Linked DNA regions of Pelodiscus sinensis. The protein of the gene in region 3 binds, or shares a complex with, the protein of the main gene of each other region. Links are inferred from orthologs where the notes say so. Each region holds a gene or a part of one and is shown on either strand. Other genes may lie near its edges.

Region 1 (7,474 bases), about 40 Mb from region 3:
TTGCTGCAAGTTAAGCCCATTGCTTCTTGTCCTATCCTCAGAGGCCAAAAAGAACAATTTTTCTCTCCTCCTTGTAATGCCCTTTTAGATACATGAAAACCGCTATCATGTCCCCTCTCAGTCTGCTCTTTTCTAAACTAAACAAACCCAGTTCTTTCAGTCTTCCCGCATAGCTCATGTTCTCTAGGCCTTTAATCATTTTTGTTGACCTTCTCTGGACCCTCTCCAATTTCTCCACATCTTTCTTGAAAGGCAGTGCCCAGAACTGGACACAATACTCCAAGTGAGGCCTAATCAGCACAGAGAAGAGCAGAATAATGACTTCTCATATCTTGCTCACAGCACTCCTGTGAATGCATCCACGGGATGGGCTGCAAAAGAGAGAAGGCTCTGGGGTCTTTTGGCTGGGAACATGGAGACTGGGCCCGAACTTAAAACACCTGGGATGCAGGCGGCTCCCTTCCCCTGGAGGCTGGAGAGGGGGGAGCAGGAAGTAATAGGGCTGGGGGCTGCTCTGTCCAGTGGGGCTGAGGGACACGGGGGTTGCAGGGCTGCTCCTTCACCCCAGGTATGGTGACCATATTTTCTGAACCAGAATTAGGGACATGTTAGCCACGCCCCTGGAGGTAGTACTCCCGGGGTCAAGATGGACACATGACCAGAAGAAAAAGGTGTTACGTGATCCCTCTAAGAACTCCTCCCACCGTCCTCTTACCAATAGGGATGAGTTTGGTCCCCACAGGATCCCCCATGTAACTATCCTGCAATTGCATTAACCCAATTTGCATTGTATTAACTCGGGGGGAGAGGCTGGGGGAAGTGTTCCTTCTAAGATTTTCCTCCTATGAGCGGAGTACATTTTGTCTTGTGCACCAGCATTGAGTGCATGTGCACTTGTTCGGATGTGTGCCACTGTGGCACCCAAGTTATTAATAAATATCTTATAAACCTCTCCCTCTGCTGCCATGTCTCCTCCCCTCCCCTCGTCCATCTGCTCCCCACCCCTCACCCTCCTCTGCTGTCCTAGCTCCTGCCCCCCTCCCCTGCACCAGCACTTCTCTTCCCCCTGTGTCCACTCCTCCTCCAGCCCTGTCACGTTACTGAATGTTAAGGGGTGCAGCCAGATCACTGCTGAACCCCTGGGGGGGGAGTGTTTGCCCCAAAAGTTGGTACAAAGGGGGCCATGTGAGGTGTCAAACTTACTTTCTTCTGATTCTATATATGCTCTTCATATACCTGTATAATGTCTGGGTGTGACGTTATAAATATGTACTCTGTGTCAATATTGGAAACTTCTCTGTGGCTGAGCATTAGATGAAGAATGCTCAGCCTATGGACATGCTAATGAGCAAGTCTCCATGGAACAATAGTCCTCTATAGGCCAAGTTCACACCTCAAGAATAGTGACTGATACCTAAGGGCTACCAGCAGGGAACACAGGGATAGGCCACGGGCCAGGTGACCTGCTGCAGCCAAGAAGAAACTGGTATAAATATGCCACGTGGCCAACTCCATCTTGGTGCTCAGCTCAGCTCTTCATCCCAGAGGCAAGAGTGCCAGGGATCGAGGAGCCGGAAAGAACTGTGGACCCATCCTGACGTAGGATGTTCACCAAAGACTTTTAAGCCAGTAGTTATAACATCTCTGCTGCAAGCCTGCATCGAGAACTGGGTGATTCGATGCATGTAATGTATGATACTTTAACAACCTTACTCTCATGCTTTTCTTTCTTGTAGTAATAAACCTTTAGATTTGTGGTTTGTGGCTAAGATCCAGAGTGTAAATTGACCTGGGATCTGTGGCTGGTTTTTTGGAACTGGACAGAACTTGTTCAGGGAAGGTGAGATTGGGCTCTAAAACCCCTCACCTGTATATGAGGCCCAAGGCCACCTGGGGCACGGATATTGCTGGGGTGTCGGAGGGGTTTTGCTCATGAGGCTTCAGGCTGGCCAGGCAGGCAGCTGAAGCGCTCTGTGGGGCTGGTTTGTGGCCTATTTGGGAAGGTCTCCAGTCTGGGGGCTATAGAGAGCCCCAAATTTGAGCAATTCGCCCTGAGCAGACACCCTCAGCTGTGCCCAGACTCAGCCCGGTCCATCACAAGCCCCACTCTGATCATCTCTAGCTACCCCTCCCCATCCCCTCTCCTAACACCTCCCTCTACCCACCTGCCCTGCCTCTCTCTTCTGCCCTCTGGTGCCCATCCCTCCCCTCCACATGACTACCCTTCTGCTTCACCCCCACAATCCTGTGGCACCTGCACCTTCCTAGTGCCTCCCCCTTCCCTCACTGCCCCTGCCCTCCTTGCCTTCTTTCTCCCTGGTGCCCACCCCCTCACCACCTTCTGCCCCAGTTCCTCTCATGTTCCTCTGTGCCCTCACACATGACTTGCTCCATCCCCAGCCTTCCTCATGCCCACCCCTCCTTTCAAAGCCTCTTATCTGGGTGTCCACTCCTCCCCTCTCCTCTTCCTCCCTCTTGCCTCCATTGTTCCTCCCCTTTCCTCTCCCAGCATCACCCTGTCCCCTCCCCACTACCACCCCCCCCAGACACCTTCCCTCCCCTCATGCCCTTTACCTCATTGTCTCCTCTTGTCCCCTGGCATTTATCTCTCATCCATCCTGCCCCTTGGTGATTTCCCCTTTCTTCTCCTGACTAGGCTCCCTGCTCTCCCCTCAGCACAAGCCCGTTCTCCTCACCCTCTTCACCTTCTGCCTTCCAGAAAGCAGTTTGCGAGGCTGGAGCTTGTAGTCCGGCTCCTGAAGCCCCCGCAACCATAGATGCGGGACTGGAGTGGAGACCACCCATGGTGCTATTTTTAGTGCCACGGTGCCATCCCCGCAGGCTGCCCGGCTCTCTCTGGAGTCAAGCGGTAGCCGCACAAGGCATGTTCCGGTGAAGCTGCCCTGGCTGGAACGCACCTTGTGTGGCTGCCACTTGACTCCAGCGGGAGCTGGGGCCACCTGCAGGGACCCAGACTGCAGTACTAAAAATAGCACCAGGGGCGGCCCCTGCTCCAGTCCCGGCACCTGCCGAGACCGAGCGTGCCTCACACTGCAGTGCCCCAGCCAGACTCCATGCGGCTCCTGCTGGGGCTCCAACACGGCCTGGAGGAGGAGGAGGCAGTGCCACGGGACCAGGACCTTCCTCAGCAGAGGTGGTCCCGCGGGGGAGAGTGGGGAGGGAGAGGAGGGGCCACATGCCACCAGAAGCCGGCCCCTCCCTGGCACCCTGCTGTGGGGAGTGGGAGAAGGCTGCTGCACCGGTGTCTCCATCAAGTAGTGCAATGTCCCGCGGGGCTTTCCGGGACATTTCACTATTTGATGGGGCACTGGGACAGGGCATTTCAATCTGGGACAGTCCCGGAAAAAACGGGACGTATGGTCAGTGTATCCATGGGGCTTGGAGGGGGAGGGGCGCCCAGCTGCTGCTCCATCCCAGTGAGGCTGGGGGGGAGGGTACATGGGCTGCTCCATTCCAGTGAGACTGGGGGGGGTACATGGGCTGCTCCATCGCAGTGAGGCTGGGGGGGGCACATGGGCTGCTCCATCTCAGTGAGGCTGGGGGGGGGCGCATGGGCTGCTCCATTCCAGTGAGACTGGGGGGGGGCACATGGGCTGCTCCATCTCAGTGAGGCTGGGGGGGGCACATGGGCTGCTCCATCCCAGTGAGGCTGGGGGGGGGGCACATGGGCTGCTCCATCCCAGTGAGGCTGGGGGGGAGGGGCGCATGGGCTGCTCCATCTCAGTGAGGCTGGGGGGGGGGGCGCATGGGCTGCTCCATCCCAGTGAGGCTGGGGGGGGGGCACATGGGCTGCTCCATCCCAGTGAGGCTGGGGGGGGGCACATGGGCTGCTCCATCTCAGTGAGGCTGGGGGGGCACATGGGCTGCTCCATCTCAGTGAGGCTGGGGGGGGCACATGGGCTGCTCCATCTCAGTGAGGCTGGGGGGGGCACATGGGCTGCTCCATCCCAGTGAGGCTGGGGGGGGGGCACATGGGCTGCTCCAGCCCAGTGAGGCTGGGGGGGTACATGGGCTGCTCCATCCCAGTGGGTCTGAGGGGGAGCGGGAGCTGCTGCGTCCCCACGGCTCCAGGCTAGGAGGCGAATCCCCCGCGGGAAGGAGCGCGCGGAGTCTATGACACACGGCAGCGCAGGCTCAGCCGGGCCCGCCGACAGCAGCGCTGATTGGCGGGAAACAGTCTCCCGCCAGGGGCCCTTCTTCTGAAGAGCGTTCTGATTGGCTGGAAGTCATTCCCACCCTTCCCGGCTCAGCCAGTCACGTCGCACTGCGTGTCTGACTAAACCAATCACAGAGAGAGAGAGACCATGACTGTGCGTAAGCCAATCAACGCCTCCTACGGTAAAAGCCCCTCCCCCCTAGCTGAGTACGGGAAAGCGCGGCCCGCCTTGCTTCGCCTCGCGCTGCTAAGAAACGGGCCGCCGGGGGCGGGATTTATTTCCCTCCCAGCCAATCGGACTTTTTTGTCGCCTGGCGCGCGCTGGAGACTTCCGGTTCCGGTTCTGGCGGCGGGGCCGCCTCAGGGCCATGGATCCCGCCGAGGCCGAGTTCCTGGCCGAGAAGGAGCTGGTGACCGTCATCCCCAACTTCAGCCTGGACCGGATCTACCTCATCGGGGTGCGGGGCCGCGCTGACCGTAGGGCCCGGCGGGGGGGGGGGGCGGAATAGGGGCGGGGCTCGAGGCTGAGGGGCGGGAACGGCGCGCGGGGGGGGGGGGTTCGGGTGCCGGGGGGGCGGGGCCTTTCGTCGGGCTCCCCAGGGGGGCTGCTGCCTTGCGGGGAAGAGCCAGACGCTGTAATAGCCCGGGGCTTCCTGCCGCCTCTCACCGTGGAGTCTGGGCGCCTGTAGCGGTGACCCCGCCCCTCGCGCCCCGTGGTGAATGTTACCATGGCAACGCCCCGCCCGGCTCCCCCGTGCAGCATCAGGGGAGTCCAGAATCACCGGCCCCGCTTGCCTTGCTGTCAAGATGCCGCCCCTGTTCCCTCCACAGGCATTTCCGAATCCCAACACGCTCACGCTGGAAGGGACCTCGGGAGACCATCAGGTCCAGTCCTCTGCCGCAGGACCAAGCACCGTCTACATCAGGGCTACTCAACTTTGCAAGCCCTGGGGGGCCACAGTGATATTCGCAGCATATGCCAAGAGCTGCAACTCCAGTGTGGTTGCATATATGTGCACATAGCTTCTTTCACGCTGATGGGCATGAGTACAAAAGATTTAAGGCAAGACTAGACAACAGTCAGGCCCCGTTTAAGTCCATTCTGCTGGTATTAATAATATGTAATATTTACCTGATTTCCACTTATATGAGAGCACTTTTAGGCTACACTGGTGGGTTCTTGCGCAAGAAAGAACATCTTGCACAAGAACATATCCACACCACCATGTGCTTTTGCCCAGAGCATCCATGGCAGTGTGGACGCTCTCTTGCGCAAGAAAGCTCTGATGGCCATTTTAGGCATAGGTCTTTCTTGCGCAAGAAACCCCTGCCACACGTCCACGCTGTCCTCTTACACTTGTGCGCAAGGAGCCCTGGCTTCCGATGCTGTACTGTAAATCTTCTTGCACAAGAGTGGGTGGGCAGTATGGATGCCGTGCAGGTTAGACATAGCCTTAATGAGCAATGACAGTCCAGAATTTAATTACTAAAACGCAGCTCAACAGACAACCATTATATTGACTTGCTGTTGTGCAGCGTGTTCCCAGTTGAGGCCATGATCAAAGGATCCCACCACTGGGCCATGTGTTAAGGCCCATGTAAACCCAAACTGTACTGCAGGCCACAAACAGCCCCTGGGCCGCATGTTGAGTAGTCCAGGTCTAGATCATCCCTGATAGGTGTCTGTCCAACCTGCCCTTAAATATCTCCAGTGATGGAGATTCCACAACCTCCCTAGGTAATGTATTCCAGTGTTTAACCACCCTGACAGTTAGGAAGTTTTTCCTAATGTCCAACCTAACCTCCCTGGTTTTAATTTAAGTCCATTGCTTCTTGTCCTATCATCAGAGTCCAAGGAGAACAATTTTTCTCCATTCTCCTTGTAACACCCTTTTAGATACTTGGAAACCGCTATCATGTTCCCCCTCGGTCTTCTGTTTAAGCCCTATTCTTTCAGTCTTCCCTCATAGGTCATGTTTTCTAGACCTTTCTAGACCATTTTTGTTGCTCTTCTCTGGACTTTCTCCAATTTCTCCACATCTTTCTTGAAATGTGGTGCCCAGAACTGGACGCAGTACTCCCAACTGAGGCCTAATCAGTGCAGAGAAGAGTGAAAGAATGACTTCTCATGTCTTGCTCACAACACTCCTATTAATGCATCCCATAATCCTGTTTGATTTTTTTGTAAAGAGTGTCTCACTGTTGACTCATATTTAGCTTGTGGTCTACTGTGACCATGACCCTTAGTGCTGGGAAAAAAGGTTTCATATATATATATATATGAAAAGTACTTAGGATAGAAAATGCCATAGAAATGTAAGTAGTTATAGGGAAAAGAGAACTGTGCTTGGATCTGGGACTAAGAGGAGGGGTCATTTCAGTTGGCATGGCATGGCCTCCCTAAATCTACTGGAAACTGTTGACCCTTCTGATGCATGTGAGGCTGATGAAAGAAACTAGATTTTCAAAGCAGTGTCACAATTTTGTATGCCCTGTTAATTCTACTTTCCTTATTTTCATACTTAATTTAATTTTACAGGGAGATTTGGGTCCCTTTAATCCTGGACTGCCTGTGGAAGTGCCTCTTTGGTTGGCTATTAACCTAAAACAGAGACAGAAGTGTCGGCTAATACCGCCTGAATGGATGGACGCTGGTAAGGAGAACACACATTAGCCAGGCTGCAGAGCTAGTGGGGATTACTGAAATACAAGAATTGAGCCTTTGCACTTTTCCCTAGAGCAAATTGCAGAAATGGTAGGAGGAAACTGTTTCCTAATGCAGTGCTCCTGAGATTTTTCAAGACCTAGTATGATTTTAGAGAGACAAAGTGGGTGTGGTAATGTCTCTTGTTGGACTCACTTCTGTTGATCTAAGAGACAAACTTTCGGGCTTACGTGGAGGCAGGGCTTGACAAATTATACAATCTACTCGCTCGTGGCGAGTAGATTGTAACCCGGAAGAGCCGGGTTCCGGCGATCTGTGCATGCGCAGATCACCGGACAGCGCGCTGCCGCAGTTCGGCGAGCCCTGTGTGAAGGTATTCTTCAGGTCTTGTCTCCTTCACCAACAAAAGTTGACTCAGTTAAAAAAAAAAAAAAATTACCTCACCCACCTTGAGTCACTAATACTCTGGGACTGACACTGCTATGACAGTATTCCAAACTAGGGATGTGATAGTGTACACCTTTAAATGGTTAACCAATAAGCCTGAATGCATCAATTAATCTTCATGGTGACATACAAGCCGTCCTCTTTTCCCCCCATGCTGCTGCCTCTGAGCCAGTGCTCACATGGAG
Region 2 (7,774 bases), on a different chromosome or scaffold from region 3:
CAAGAGTAAGTCCATAACCTTTCTTCTTCTGCTGCTTTTCTTCACCATGGCTTCATGGGACTATAAGGGTACATCTACACTACGGGACAAAGTCGAATTAAGATACACAACTTCAGCTATGTTAATTGCGTAGCTGAAGTAGAAGTAGCTTAACTCGGCTTTTGGTGCTGTCCACACTGCAGGAAGTTGAAGGGAGCACACTCTCTCCCTTCGACTTCCCTTGCTCCTCGTGAAAGCAGGGGTACTGGCATTGACCGGAGTGCCCCTCTCAGTTCGAATGAGCTGAATTAACTAGACCCACTAATGTGAACCCTGGAAGATTGACAGAGGCAGCTTCGATCTTCCTCTGTAGTGTAGATGTACCTTAAGGCTGTGTCTAGGCTGGCAAGTTTTTCCGCAAAATCAAATGATTTTGCGGAAAAACTTGCCAGCTGTCTACACTGGCCACTTGAATTTCCGCAAGAACACTGATGATCTCATGTAAGATTGTCAGTGTTCTTGGGGAAATACTGTGCTGCTCCCATTAGGGCAAAAGCCCTCTTGCGCAAATCATTTGTGCAAGAGGGCCAGTGTAAACAGCACAGTACTGTTTTCCGCAAAAAAACCTGGATCGCGAAAATGGCGATCGGGGCTTTTTTGTGGAAAACTGCGTCTAGATTGGCCACGGACGCTTTTCCGCAAAAAGTGCTTTTGCGGAAAAGCATCTTGCCAATCTAGACGTGCTTTTCCGAAAATGCTTTTAACGGAAAACTTTTCCGTTAAAAGCATTTTCGGAAAATCATGCCAGTGTAGACGTAGCCTAAGTGTGCATGGTGCTTTTCAGAGAAAATAAAGAGATGAGGCCAAATCTGCAGGTGACTCTGAGCCATGATTGATGCACCCCTATAGGAGACATAGATGGCTTTCTACACCTTTCCATCCCCTCTGATTTTGGAGGCTACCAAGAGCTAATTTGACCCCAAGCGTAGGTTAGATCATCCTCACCCTCAAAGATGCTGTAACTGGCACCAGCTGGAACATCTGGCCTTCTGCGCTTATTCTGCTAGTCTAGGAACCTGGGAATGCATTGTGCTTTGGCCATACTTCTTTATGGCTCCAACATACTTCCTTGTCTGTATAGAGTCAACTAGTCTAGTTTATGCCACCCAGAGATTCTCTTATCTGAGGGGAATCTCCAGCTTCATTAGGGATGCTTTCTGACTGCTTCGCGCCATCAGAAACACATGAAGCAGCCAGAGCAGGGACCAGAATCTGGTCAATGGGACATCATTCTCCACCATCCTGCATGTCTGCAGTGAGTTACCATCCTGACTGGGTAGCATTTTACACCTGCTCAGTGGATAATCAGGTCCAAAGTCACTGCTCCAAACATCTTCCAGCCTAGGTAATACACAAGATGAAATGCTGGAGGGAGACATAGCAGAGGGAGAGGCAGGATGCATGCAATATGATTATGCACTCGCTTGCATTGCAAGGATTATGTTACATTAGCCTAGAATTTATATTTACATTTGCCTAGAATGCCAAAGGTTAGTTTGGAGGTGTGAAACCGTGGGCACAAATCCACCCTTTCAGTTTCATTGTCCCAATTAAGTCACTACAGCTAAAAGGAGAATTTAGCTCATTCTAAGAGAGATTGCGAAAAGAGATAGATTTGAAGGACCAAGAGGCTGCTGAGAATACTGGATGAGGAAGGCTATTAGTGTAGGGGCCAGCACAGGAAGTAGCAAAATGGCCGTGAAGGGCAGCAGAATTGGTGGAACTGCAGGACTTGGGGAGGCCTAATTCTCCAGTCAGCAATTTTACACTAGTGAAGCTGTATTGACCCCAACCAAGTTTATTCCAAGAGGAGAGGAGAAAAGAGTGGGACCCGAAAAATGAGAAGCAAGGAAGGGGCAGAACTGTACTGTTTCAGTTGTGGAACCAGGGAAAGGATTAGAGGGGTAGGGTGATTATATTTGAACATTCAATATATCATCCTAATTCAATAACAACAGCTATTTAGCAGATTTCAGATATATAGGTGGAGCTGAGCCTGAGACCTAACCCTGTAAAGAGGAAATAGGGCACTTACTGATTATCTAGTCTCGTTTGTGCACACACAGAACAGTTAACTGTGTTCCATTGGAATCTGCTTCCCCCTAGTGGGACTGAATTGGAATGACTAAAGATTTTGATGTAGCATTTTACATAGGTCATAATCCTCTTCTCACTGCTTCAGGGAGTAGCCAAGTTCATCTGTATTGGATAAACTTAAAAAACAACACATAGTCTGGTAGCACTTAATAGACTAACAAAACATGTAGCCGTGGGGGAGGGATAGCTCAGTGGTTTGGGCATTGGCTTGCTAAGCCCAGGATTGTGAGTTCAATCCTTGCAGAGGCCATTTAGGACAAAAATTTGTTAGGGATGGTACTTGCTCCTGTTGTGAAAACAGGTGATTGAACTTGATCTTTCAAGGTCCCTTCCAGCTCTAGGAGATAGACAATCTCCATTAATTGAATACGAGGTTTTGTGGGCACAGCCCACTTCTTCAGATTACCAGAGAATTGAGTTTAGGATGTCCAGACCCAAAATAATAAATAGGGGAGAAGGATACAAGAAGCAGAGGGTTTGTAAATATCAAAGGCTATGTCTAGACTGCAGGCTTCTTTCGAAAGAGGCTCTTTCAAAAGCATCTTTCGAAAGAGCCTCTTTCGAAAGATCGCATCTAGACTGCAGGCGGATCTTTCAATAGAGGAAATCCACTTTTTCGAAAGAGAGCACCCAGCGAGTCTGGATGCTCTCTTTCGAAGACGGCCTCTTTACATTGTAGAACGCCTTCTTTCGAAAGAGGAACTTTCGAAAGAAGGCGTTCTTCCTCGTGAAACGAGGTTTACCACCATCGAAAGAAAAGCCGCGTTCTTTCGAAATAATTTCGAAAGAACGCAGCTTGAGTCTGGACGCAGGGGAAGTTTTTTCGGGAAAAGGCTACTTTTCCCGAAAAAACCCCTGAGTCTGGACATGGCCAAAGGGAAAACCAGAAAGGCAAAACTGGTAATCAGTAAGCTCCTAAAAATTGAATAGTAAAAAGAAGAAGATAAGGATCATAGGATAGCAATTAAGAGAGGAAAAGTACTACTACAAAAATCTACCCAGATAAAGAGCTGTTGGCACCTTCATTGTTTGTTTGATTGATAATGTCCCAGCCATCCATTATCTTGATTGAGGCCATAGGTGTGAGAATTAATTTGTAGATGAATTGTAATTCCAACCCTTCTCTGTGTAAAATTGGTCTGTAACAAGACAGCCATTTGGAGATCTGTGGATTGTGCCCACGAAAGCTCATGATATTATATATATATTTTTGCTTGTTGCTAAGGTGCTACAGGACCATTAGTTTTTAAAGTTCTTTCCATTTTAATTACTCATAAGTTTCTAGTGTAGAGGAAGTGGGGTGAGCTGCAGAAAAGCATTAAAATGTGATCCCAGTTCATCCTGTTCGTCCAGAAATATAATTTATTCCATCATGTGCCAACAGTGTCCTTCTGCTATGTATATTGGACAGACTTCTCAGACACTTCACCACAGAATTAATGCCTACAAATCAGACATCAGACATCTTCACAAGGAAAAACCAGTTGGTTTTCATTTCAACTTATCGGACATAGTCTTAACGACCTTACTACATGCATCTTACTTCAAAGAGACTTTAACACCAGATTACAGAGGGAAACTTCAGAACTTTCATTCATGCTTAAATTTGACACTTTACGAATGGGCCTTAAGATGCTAATTATCTTACCCATTACAAAGTTTCTCCACTTATCACCCCTAATTAGCCATTCATTGACTCATATATAGCTATCCCCTCCCTTCCTCTCCCTGGCCCCACCTTCTGTACTAAATCTGATTTGTCAGTTTAATAATGTGTTCACTTTTTTCATTGTATTCTTTTGGTATATATGGTCATGCCAATTCTCTTCCAGAATATGAGTTAAGGAAGTGGGTCTGGCCCAGGAAAGCTCATCACCTATTAACCAATCTTGTTAGTGTTACATAGTTTTCCCTTTTGTTTTAACAAGATCAGACTAACACCTCCCTATTTCTATCGTAAGGGCTGAACAACCAGAAAGCACATAGCACAACCTCTCCTCATTTATTATTATTACTAATCTCATAGGTTTGGGAAGGCTCGCTCATGGCTACGTAATACAGTGATATTAACACTGCAAGGGCATGTCTACACTATGTGGAAGACACTGCCATGGTAGATTTTTGGGGGTTCGATTTAGTGGGTTCATCCTCTAGATCGAACTGGAAGGGCAACCGGGTTGGCTCAGGTACTCCTGCTCCTCCCATTGGCTTCCCTCTGTGTGCAGAGCACAGAAATGCGATGTAAGAGACATAGCTGGAGTTGTGTATCTTACTTCGACCTTCCGATGTAGCAGAGACTAGGCCTAAATGCCTGACTTGCTATGGCTCAGAACTGACCCTAAAACATGCACCCGTGATGGACTACATGGCCCAGCATGCCTCTGGCAGGCATGCACCTCCCAGCATGCAATGCTCCCTTGGCCCCCACAGCGTCTAGTAGAAACTACACATCCCAGCATGCTCGAGGGCGGACTACAGCGTGAAGGACCGAACGTTCTCAGCCTCTCCCCCTGATTGGCTGAAGCTGTGGCCTCTTCTCCCGCTCTCTGGTATTGGCCGGCCGCTTCCCGGCTCAGTCAGAGGCTGGCCAATGGGAGACGGAGCCTTGGTGACCCCTGCGGTGGCGGGAAAACGCGGCCGGTTTTGGCGCCAGGGGCGGAGCCAGCGGCAGCGCGGGCGCCCCTGAGTCCAGCCTTTGCTCCACGGCGCCGGCCCCGCTCCCCAGCGCAGGCACCATGGCGGCCCCCGCGGCGGCGGGGCTGGAGGACGCGGAGCTGCGGGAGGCGCAGCGCGACTACCTCGATTTCCTGGACGACGAGGTGAGACTGGGCGAGCTCCGGGCCGGGGGGGGGCGGTATGGAGAGGACCCAGGCGTGGGGGGGGGGGGCTGTTGCTGGGTTTCCTGTCTCCCTCCCCAGCCCGGGGGGGGCTCCCCCCTCCCCGTGTCCAAGTTTGGCCTCTGGGGGGGAGGAGATCCCCGCCCCCCCTTGCAAACCACGCCCATTCCCGGGGGGGGGGCGGTCCTTGCAAGGTGGGGCTGCTGCCCTGCACCCCCCCATCTTGTGCACGGCCAGTCCCGTAGCTCCGCTCAGGCGCGGGGGGGGGGGGAGGTTTAAAAATCTCGTTTTAACGCTTTGCCCTGCACACCCCCCCCCCCCATCTTGTGCACGGCCAGTTGGGGAGCCCATGCTGGCACTGCCACCGCACTTGTGGGGCTGGGGCGCACAGAATCTACTAGCCTGCCCTCCCCCCCCTTTGGCTCTGGTGTGCAAGGGGAATGTGGGGAGTGTCTTTCTCTTTCGCAGCTTGAGTTGTAACTGACTATCTGCAAGAAGGCATAGGGTACTAAAAAGGAACGCAGTCTGTACTGAAAGCTGGGGGGGGGGTGATCCCCAAGTTGTTGTATCATGCAAGCAAGATAGTAACAAACTTCAACAGGCCTTTTATTTAACAAAGGTGAAACCTCTTTACAAAGCTGCTGCTGCTCCCCTCTGTAGCTCTCACTCAGGCCTGGCCCATCTCCTCCCCCCTCCTTCCTCTTTCCTGTGCTTCCAGATTCCCAACAGCCAGTGCTCCCAGTTCTAATAATTACAAGCAGCATCTAAAACACCGCACAGGTAGAGGATAAATTCTTGTGCTTGCTCTGATGGAGCTAGCATACCAAACATAGAAGGATGCTGTGTCAGCAAATGTCTGAGATCACATGCATATAAGTACATAATTTTGATGGTTAGTCCCTCCTGCTGGTTTGGTTACACTATTGGTTATGCTCTATATTTAGTGAGCCGTCTCAATCAGAGATGGTGAGAATAAGGGCTTGTCTTCACCATTGGCTCAGTGATCAATCCAGTTGGTGTTGATTTATCAAGTCTATTAAAGTCACGATAAATTGACCACAGATCACTCTCCCGTTGACTCTGGTACTTCACCTCAATGATAAGTGCAAGGGGAGTTGATGGGAGAGCACTGCCTGTCAGTGCACTGCGTCAAGCATGCTGCAGTAAGTAGATCTAAATATGCTGACCTCACCTATGGTAATTGCATAACTGAAGCTGCATAACTTAGATCCTATGTTTCTTCGAGGTGGGAACTGCATTTCCAACTCAAAGTGAAGGTGTTGACACTGCATTCCTCTATCTGGCCTTTCCTTGCAACAAAGATATCCAGCATGAATAACAGGAAGGGGGTGGGGGGGGATTTCCTGAGCCACTAAAGACAAATCAAATGGGCTGCATCTCGCCAGCTTAACTTTGTAAAAGGGAACCTTTCTCTCATGGCATGCTGCAGGAGGACCAGGGAGTTTACCAGAGCAAAGTCCGGGATATGATCCACGATAATCAGTATCGTCTGATTGTTAGCATCAATGAGCTGAGGAGGAAGAACGAGAAGAGAGCCAACCGGTAAGAGTAACCTGTGAAGGAACTCGACAAGAGTGTTTCTTCCAACTTGGCTCCTGCACAGCATGTAGTGAGTAGTATGAGAGGAGAGCCTGTACAGTTGTTGTTTCCATGTTGGCAAACTTTGCAGGCAGGTCAATGGGTTAAACTATTACTTTCTCTCTAAAGCTCTGTAGTAGAAAAGGTTTGTCCAGTGTACTAACACCAGCAAATCCTACTAAAGGAAATGTAGATTACACAGGTACCCTAAGCACTTTTGCTGCTATACCTTTTAGAGGGACTCTGAGCAAAATAAGATGTACCAGCCAAAATGCTTATGCTGGTATTGCAGCATCTACAGCAGGGCTTTTGTCAGTGTTGAAATGGTGCTGACCCTTCCCCCAAAAAAGAAATACTAACACACTTGTAAAAGTTTCTTGTGTAGACCTGTGCTAAGGTAATATCTTCACAACCAGAAAAGTGTGTGCTTTTTGTTTTATTATTGTTTGTTGTTGTTTTTGTTACAGCAAGATAACTATCATGCATTAGCCATCTTGATGCAAAATTATAGGAGATGAAGCACAGGTAGCATTTATCATGATGTAGCTCAGGCGTGGGGAATCTTTTTTTTTAGGTTGGTGGCCACTGACCCACAGAGAAAAAATCAGTTGGGGGCTAACCAAGTGAGAAGCAAAAAAATAAACCCTCCACAGTCCTCACTGACCTGGTCCCCAGTGAGAAGAAGGAAAAGAAGACCTTTCCCTCAAGCTCCAGTCCTGGAGATAGGGGAGGCTCTGAGGCTCAGGGGTTACACCACAGTGCTGGATTAACTCTTCTGGGGGCCCAGAGATACTCTCTGGAGTGGGGCCAAAAATGAGGGGTCCAGTGTGTGAGAGGGGGCAGTCGGGGAGAGGGCTAGGAGTATGGTTGTGGAGTCAGGGAGGGAGGGTTCAGGAATGGGTTAGACTGTATGGGGTCAGGGCAGGAGGGAGGTGGCAGAAGCATGGTGAGGATGCATGGTCTGGGAGGGAGGGTACAGGAGGAGGCTGGAGGTGAGGTGCAGGGTCTGGAAGGGAAGGAAGGAGCGTGCAGACATGAGGACTGAGCAGGGGATACAGGAGGGGGCAGTGGATATGGGGTACCTCTCACCCTGCCTTGGAAAGTCCATGGGGCCCAATCCAGCCTATGTCTTGCTTTGATTGGGCCCACAAGGCATAAGCCATGTGCTTCCCCCCTGCCTCATGGCTGGAGTGCCAGTGCTG
Region 3 (7,554 bases):
CAGGGTTCAAAAAAGAGCTACATAAATTCATGGAGGTTAGGTCCATCAATGGCTATTAGCAGGGCTCGACAAACCGCTGATTCTACTCACCCATGGCGAGTAGATTTCAGCCGGTTGCTCCGTGCACCCCATTCACCGGCGCTGTGCACATGCGCAGTGCTGGTCTGGCGCACATGCAGTGCGGGGCTGGCGAGTAGCTCTCACCACGGTTTTTTAAGCCCTGGCTATTAGCCAGGATGGGTAGGAACGGTGTCCCTAGTCTCTGTTTCTCTGGAGGTGGGTGACAGGGGAGGCACCACGTGAGGATTACCTGTTGTGTTCCCTCCCTCTGGGGCATCTGGTATTGGCCACTGTTGGCAAACAGGATACTGTGCTGGATAGACCGTTGGTCTGACCCAGCATGGCCTTTCTTATGTTCACAAATATATGAATATATTTGGGGCCATACTTTTTTCAAAGTCTCATGATCACTATATTCTCTATGGAATTCTTCTATTCAGGCTTTTTTTCAGGCTACTGTTTTTGGCTACATTAGTTACCACCCTTCGAATTTACTGCTGACCACACTAAAAACAGGCTGGAATTTTCAAGAATGTTGATGAGAATTAAGCTCCTGACGCCTTCTGAAATCTGCTTAGTGTTTTTCAAAATCCCACCCTTATCTTTGATCCATTCCCAGTCCATTTGCCAGTATGTCTTTGATTGAAAGGGAAACAAAGTGGGTTTCAAAAATATAATTCTGCTTAAGACATCAAAAACTGTGAGAACAACTCAAATTGCTACTTCCCACGAGTGCACTGATGCTCATATTTCTTTCAAACCTACTCAAAGCTTGGTATGAGAGACTGATAAACAAAGCTATAATTCTTGATAAAAGGAAAATAAAATCTTTAACAATGATAGAAAAGTTCTGTTATTGTACAGATTACCATTCTTAGTAACAGTGCAGGTGTTTTATTGTTATTTTATTTCTCAACATGCACAATTAAAGGCAGGGCAAACAAGGTTTAATTAAGCAAAGAAAAAATGAATTCCCCCAAAAATGTAAAACATTTTAAAAGTTCTAAACAAGACAAGGACAAAAGAAGTCAAAGTATGCTCTCAGTTATACCAATGTAAGTCTTGAGTAACTCCAGTGAAATCTGTGAGGTTACTCTGGAGTTATACTTGTGTACCCAAGATCAAAATCTGGCCCAAAGAGTTTGACTTTGTGCTAGAGCATTATCTCTGGTCTATTGAGTTGTAACACTAAAGTGAATGTGGCATTTGAATTACATTCCAATAATCTGCCTCAGCATGAAAACAATTTAACAATTAAAACTTTGGCATTAAGAGATCATTAAGATATACTTAAACCTACTTAGCATTAATTTGTCTGGATTTTCACTGTGTCCCTTATTAAGCAGAATGACCCATGTTTCCACTACAAAAAACAACCCTAACCACATAGATTCAAATTCATACTCACTGTGGTCTTTATACAATTTGTGGATAAGGCCAGATTCACCCCTTGGGCACAATGGAGTGCAATTTGCAGCTTCCCTGCTGTGCCTGTTAGAATGGCTGCACTAAAGATTCAAACTTCAAACACAGGCAATTGTGATATCACAGGTGCTCTCCACTAGGGTTCTGATAGGGAAGGATAGCTTTAAAACTCAGTCGACATAGAATGTCCAAGGCTAGTCTAGACTACATGCCTCTGACGACAGAAGCATGTAGATGAGGCCACCAGGCATAGAAAAATGAAGCGGCGATTTAAATAATCGCCGCTTCATTTAAATGTACATGGCTGCCGCGCTGAGCCGACAAACAGCTGATCAGCTGTTTGTCGGCTCGGCGCTGTAGTCTGGACGCGCGGGTGTCGACATCAAAGGCATTTGTCGACCACCCAGGTAAACCTCATCCCAGGAGGCATACCTGGGTGGTAGACAAATGCCTTTGATGTCGACACCCGTGCGTACAGACTACAGCGCCGAGCCGACAAACAGCTGATCAGCTGTTTGTCGGCTCAGCGCGGCAGCCATGTAAATTTAAATGAAGCGGCGATTATTTAAATCGCTGCTTCATTTTCCTATGCCTGGTAGCCTCATCTACATGCCTCTGTCGCCAGAGGCATGTAGTCTAGACGTAGCCCAAGAGAGGCAAGGATGGTTTGTACCCCTATGCCCCAGAAATCCAGGCTGACTTCCTGCTGTCAGCAATACACTACCAGAGTTGCATCATTGTGAACTTATTCCAGTGCCTGTAACATCCAGTCACAAAGGTTTAGCTGAAAAGATGAGCCTAAGACAATATGCTGACAAATTTGAGATCTGACACCTGTCAGGAGAAAATTCCAGACATGGGCCTTCCAACCAAGACCTGCTTTCACCGAGATCGGTTGATTTCAGCCATCACAGAGGAGATGGCCACACTCTAAAACAAACAAATACCAAATCACGTAGGCCCAGATATTCAAAGAGGCACCTCAAGTCCATGCAAGTGAAGGGTGTATCTCAATACCTTTCATATTCCAGGCCAGACAACTTTACATCAAATTAAAAAAACAACACTTTGTCTTGCACCAAGGTATTGATGGGAAGCCACTAGTTTATAGAATGCCACAAGAACATACCTGCAATCTGCCCCCGATTTAGACAGGGTAGCTTAAAGCTTCTGAATGATTTGGTTTTAGTGTTAATTTAAATTCTTGGAAGGAAATGCTGGCCTCATTACAGTCAAGGAGACTTCTGTCAGGATTCCTCCTTACATTTTTTAAATCTAAAAGGCTACGTCTAGACTGGCATGATTTTCCGCAAATGCTTTTAACGGAAAAGCTTTCAGTTAAAAGTATTTGCGGAAAAGAGCGTCTAGATTATCACGAACGCTTAAAAGTATCCGTGCCAATCTAGACGCGCTTTTGCGCAAAAAAAGCCCCGTTGGCAATTTTTGCAATCGGGGCTTTTTTGCGCAAAACAAATCTGAGCTGTCTACACTGGCCCTTTTGCGCAAAAGGACTTTTGCCCGAACGGGAGCAGCATAGTATTTCCACAAGAAGCACTGATTTCTTACATGAGATCATCAGTGTTCTTGCGGAAATTCAAGCAGCCAGTGTAGACAGCTAGCAAGTTTTTCCGCAAAAGTAGTTTGCGGAAAAACTTGCCAGCCTAGACACAGCCAAACTGTAACTTCTTTGGAAGCAGAGACCGTCTTCCTACTGAATCCGGTGCAACATGTCATTTTAAGGTCCTTTCGCCACAACTTTTGGGGCAGAGGGAGAGGGGTTGCCCAGAAGGTAGGCGTTCCCAGGCTATGTCTAACACAGCAACATTATGTCTAGACTACCTAGTTTTGTCGACAAAAGTGGACTTTTGTTGACAAAACTATACCAGCGTCTACACTACCGCTGAATTCTGTCGACATAACGTCGACAGAACTCAGCAATTTTGTCGACGCTGGTATACCTCATTTTACGAGGCATAACACCTTCTGTCGACAGAAGGTGTTATTGCCTGTAACGTTGCGTCCAGACTACGGAGTTCTGTCGACAAAGCAGCTTGCTTTGTCGACAGAACTCAATATGTCTGGACGCTCTTTGTCGACGGAAGTTTTGTCGACAGTATGTGTCGACAAAACTTCCGTCGACAAAACGCGGTAGTCTAGACGTACCCACAGTCTGCAGCGATGCAGCTGGCAGTTATTTCGACATACAGTCCAAATCATGTCGAGCTGGAGGGCCACTTGCTGCAACCCGTGACCCTCATTGTAGAAGGAGCAAGGGAAGCGGGAGGCAGAGGGCTCTGGTTTGAAATACCTGCTGTGCAGACAGCACCAACACTTGAATGAAGCTACTCAAGGGCAGTAGCTCCACTGGCGGGTTAGTTCCGAGTTAAGCCCCGCAGTGCACGGCGCGCCCGGGCAGGGCTGGTGGAGCCAAGCCGCACCACTGCGAGGGCAGGGCGGTGTCTCCCCAGGGTGTCACTGCGACTCCACCTGCCCGGGGAGGAAAGGGGCCCGGGCGTGTCCGGGGGTGCGGGCGAAGGGCGCTCGGCACTGGGGCTTGTTACCCGCGGGGGGGGGGGAGGAGGGGGGGTCTGCGGGCACGTCGTTCGTCGCTGAAAATGGGGATCCCCCCCCGCCCCCATCTCACCCGCGGCTACGCCCCTCCCACTCTACCGCCCCTCCCCCCTCACATGCTCCGCCTCCCGCCGGCCCCCGGGCCTGCGCTCCGACGACGCGCTGTCGGTTACCGGCCGCCCCCGCTGGAGTCATGAGGCAGCAGCACGCGCCCCCCCCCCCCCCCCCGCGCTCGCGCCGCCCGCCCGCAACAATCCATCGGGGGGGGGGGAGACAGCCCCCGCGTCAGGCACAAAGCGGCCCCTCCCCCACACCCCGCGGGACCGGGCACCCCTCGCGGCTATTTGCAGCGTGACTGACTGACGAGGGCGCGCGCGCTGCCCTCGATTGCTCTCGCCTGGCGCCGGCTTGCGGAGCGGGCAGAAAGCGGCGCATGCGCGCTGTCGCTCCCCAGCCTTGGCCGCTGCTTCTGCCTGACCGCGGCGGAGCGCGGGAAAGGGGGTTGGGAGGTTGCCGCCCCGCCATGTCCGAGGCCTATTTCCCCGTGGAGCCCGGGCTGGGGCCCGAGGAGAACTTCCTGTCGCTGGGAGACATCCTGATGTCCCAGGAGAAGCTGCCGGGCCGCGTGGAGGCGGCTCTGCCCCGCCTGGCCGCCGTGCTGGGAAAGGGCTCGGGGGCCGGCCAAGGCGACTGCATCCCGGAGGTAACGCGCGGCCGGAGGGCGCCGGGACTACAACCCCCGGCAGCCACCGCGCGCTGGTGGGGGCGGGGCTTGTCCCTTCCCGCTGGCCTGAGGAGCGCTCCGTTGTGTGAGTGACGGGCTCCCGGCTGGAGCGGGGCATGCTGGGAAATGCAGGCGCCAGCGCGGTGTGACCAGGGCCCAATGGGGTTCTCCCCGGGAGCGCGCGCTCGGCCTGGGCTTGCGCGAGGCTGCGGGGTGGGCCCGCTGGGCTCCAGCACGTGTACGGCCGCGGGGGGGTCTCTTCGGAACCAGGTCTCCCTAGGCAGCCGGGGACTTCGCTTGCTAACCGCCCCCGGGCTAGGGCCTGCCCGCGTGCTGCCCGCGAAGCACTGCAGCGAGGCGTCCCGCAGGTCTTTGCTGCGAGTTGTGGGCGTCGTCCAGGGACCCTGCCCTGCCGTTCATTGCACCGCCAGCAGCACCCCAGCATCGCTGGCACCTGCAGGGTGGAGGTCTGAATCCCCCCGAGGGGCAGCCAAGTTAGTCGGCAACTGGGGTGGGCAAAAGCCTCGCAGGGGCTGGATCCAGCCCCTCGCATGTTGCCTGGGAGCTGGAGACGTGGGAGCTTCTTTCAACTGCTTCTTAAAGGGCTCCTGCCTTCCCCATGTCTGTCGGGCAGCGGGTTGCCTGGCAGCCACAGGCCACAGGGCAACACAAGAGCCCTTTAAAGAGAAACAGTTAAAAGGGCTGGCAGCTCCCGGCCCCTCTAGCGCGTTGCCAGGGAGCTCAGCCCTTTCACCTGCTTCTATCTAAAGCTGTTACCTGACAGCTCCAACCAGCGGGCACAAGGCCTTGAAACCAAAGCAGTAGAAAGGGCTCATAGCTCTTGATCCCACCAGCTCCTTGCCTGTGAGCTGCCTGTGAGACAGAGTCCTTTCAACTGCATCTTTCAAAGGGCTTGCGGGTGCCAGGCAACAGGTTAGTGGGGAGGGGGGAAAGCTGTGTTATGTGAATTCTAAACCTCCACCCAGACAACTCTGGGAGAAGGCTAGCCCCTGGTACCTTTCCCTCTGCTCCAGGTCTCTTCCACCAGAAGTCTGGGGGGGACCCCAGGTCAAGTACAGCTGCCAGTTGGGTAGCTCTCAATCCCTCCCCTTCTCCGCCTGAGGCCCCACCCCTTCCAGGTCTGAAATTTGTGAAGTGGCCCCCTCTTCAAAAATTATTACTCACCCCGCTATAACTGGAAAAACTTAAAAAACGAATAGTCTTGCAGCACCTTAAAGACTAACAAAACATGTAGATGGGATCATGAGCTTTCGTGGGCACAACCCACTTCTTCAGATGAATGAATCCTGACAGTTGTAACTCTGAAGTGTTATGGTTGTCTTTTTCAACAGTTTACAACTGAACGTTGTAAACCTTGAACTTGAAACCTTATTATGCAGAAGAAAAATGCTACTTTTACCCATTTTAATTTAAATTACACAAGCACAGAAACCGTTTCCTTTGACAAATCTTTTTAAATGTTTTCATTTTAAATCTTTTTAGAAGTTTATTTTTAATAGCTTACTTTTAACACTTGATTATTTATTTATTTATTTATTTTGGCCTCTGCTGCCTGGTTGCAGTGAATGATTGATTCTAAGGATGTTAAAATGTGGTTAATTGACTAGTCAATGGAATTTCCATCGACTAGTCGATAGGCACTTCCACATTCCTCCTTTGAAATGTACAAGAGCCCCAGGAGGCTGACTCCGGACTCCACCTGGGTGCGTCTTTGAAATGTACGAGAGTCCCCAGCGGAGGCCAGAGTCGGGGGGGGGGGGGGGGGACTCCAGCAATGGAGTGATGGGGGGCTGGAGCACCAGTGCGGGATCCCCAGTGCTTGGGAGGGGGGAGGGAGCCCTGAGCCTTGGGGCCTGGATCCAGGCAAGCTGCGGGCCAGGCCTGAAGGTTCCCCACTCCTTCCTTAAATTTACTTCCTGGAGTGGTCCTGTTGGCGGAATCATATGAGCAAAGTTGCAGATATTTGAAAGTGTCTGCAGGATCCTGGGGCTCTACTTGTAAATTTCCTTACACTGTAGTATTGTTTTTATCCTTTCAGGGTTTGTTTACGCGCCGCGCGCACTCACACGCTCTCTCTCTGGTGTCTATAGGCGTTATCTTTCTCAAATAAAAATCTGATTTACATTCGTTTCCACTACTACACATTGACATCAAATCACTCTCTGGTGAATCTTCAGTGTTCATCTAAATCTCATGTTTTTTGTTATCCTGGTCAGAGTTTATTTACCTCTGTTTCTGGGGGGTGGGGTTTCTGTTGTGTGCATGCAGGGCTCAAAGGTGGAAATACCCCTATGGCTAGCAAAAGGATTGTATGACATCAAACGGAGGATCCTTTCAGTGGAACTGCCTAAGATTTACAAGGAAAGCTGGCGGACGGTGTTCAGTGCTGATGCCAATGTGGTTGACCTTCATAAAATGGGGCCATACTATTATGGTTTTGGCTCCCAGCTCTTGAATTTTGACAATCCAGAGAATCCAGAAATAGCTCAGACTATACTGCAGGCAAGTATCTGAAACCATATTTCCTTTGGTAGCTTTGGATTCCTTTTTCTTTGCTGCGCTCAGGCAAACCTTCTTCTGTTGTAACCATGGTTTTAGCTTAAATAAGGACTTCCAGGTCAGAGAACATAAGAACAGCCGTACTGGGTCAGACCAAAGGTCCATCTAGCCCAGTATCCTGTCTACCAACAGTGGCCAGCACCAGGTACCCCAGAGAGGGTGGACCGAAGACAATGATCAAGCGATTGTCTCCT

The links.
Region 1: the proteins of GINS3 (region 3) and GINS2 are in contact, whole or in part, in a crystal structure (PDB 2E9X), measured with the Homo sapiens proteins. The link is inferred for Pelodiscus sinensis from reciprocal best matches to the Homo sapiens genes GINS3 and GINS2. Residues at the interface, in NP_073607.2 of Homo sapiens: Leu13, Gly14, Tyr117, Ser121, Leu124, Asn131, Ala132, Ser135, Gln136, Leu138, Leu139, Gln140, Phe142, Ile143, Phe146, Arg147, Ile149, Met150, Asp151, Ser153, Gln154, Ala156, Met171, Gly174, Leu175, Thr178, Gly179, Gly182, Leu183, Asp185; in NP_057179.1 of Homo sapiens: Asp2, Ala3, Ala4, Glu7, Met93, Glu94, Lys97, Asn101, Trp121, Ile125, Arg129, Val130, Ala132, Asp133, Val136, Arg137, Gln139, Met151, Thr155, Ser156, Thr158, Phe159, Leu160, Gln162, Ala163, His166, Met167, Lys169, Leu170, Arg171.
Region 2: GINS3 (region 3) and MCM3 share a complex: the UniProt entries of both Homo sapiens proteins name them as parts of the CMG helicase complex. The link is inferred for Pelodiscus sinensis from reciprocal best matches to the Homo sapiens genes GINS3 and MCM3.

What each region holds. Positions count from the first base shown.
Region 1 is NC_134722.1:6,384,613-6,392,086, reverse strand, and holds the start of GINS2 (DNA replication complex GINS protein PSF2), read left to right. Parts: upstream 1-4,458; 5' UTR 4,459-4,545; coding exon 4,546-4,635; intron 4,636-6,716; coding exon 6,717-6,831; intron 6,832-7,474. UniProt on the Homo sapiens protein: Required for correct functioning of the GINS complex, a complex that plays an essential role in the initiation of DNA replication, and progression of DNA replication forks.
Region 2 is NC_134713.1:8,420,642-8,428,415, forward strand, and holds the start of MCM3 (DNA replication licensing factor MCM3), read left to right. Parts: upstream 1-4,758; 5' UTR 4,759-4,871; coding exon 4,872-4,955; intron 4,956-6,423; coding exon 6,424-6,536; intron 6,537-7,774. UniProt on the Homo sapiens protein: Acts as a component of the MCM2-7 complex (MCM complex) which is the replicative helicase essential for 'once per cell cycle' DNA replication initiation and elongation in eukaryotic cells.
Region 3 is NC_134722.1:46,266,363-46,273,916, forward strand, and holds the start of GINS3 (DNA replication complex GINS protein PSF3), read left to right. Parts: upstream 1-4,544; 5' UTR 4,545-4,579; coding exon 4,580-4,759; intron 4,760-7,069; coding exon 7,070-7,303; intron 7,304-7,554. Other genes in the region: diacylglycerol O-acyltransferase 1, read right to left, coding at 4,173-4,251. UniProt on the Homo sapiens protein: Required for correct functioning of the GINS complex, a complex that plays an essential role in the initiation of DNA replication, and progression of DNA replication forks.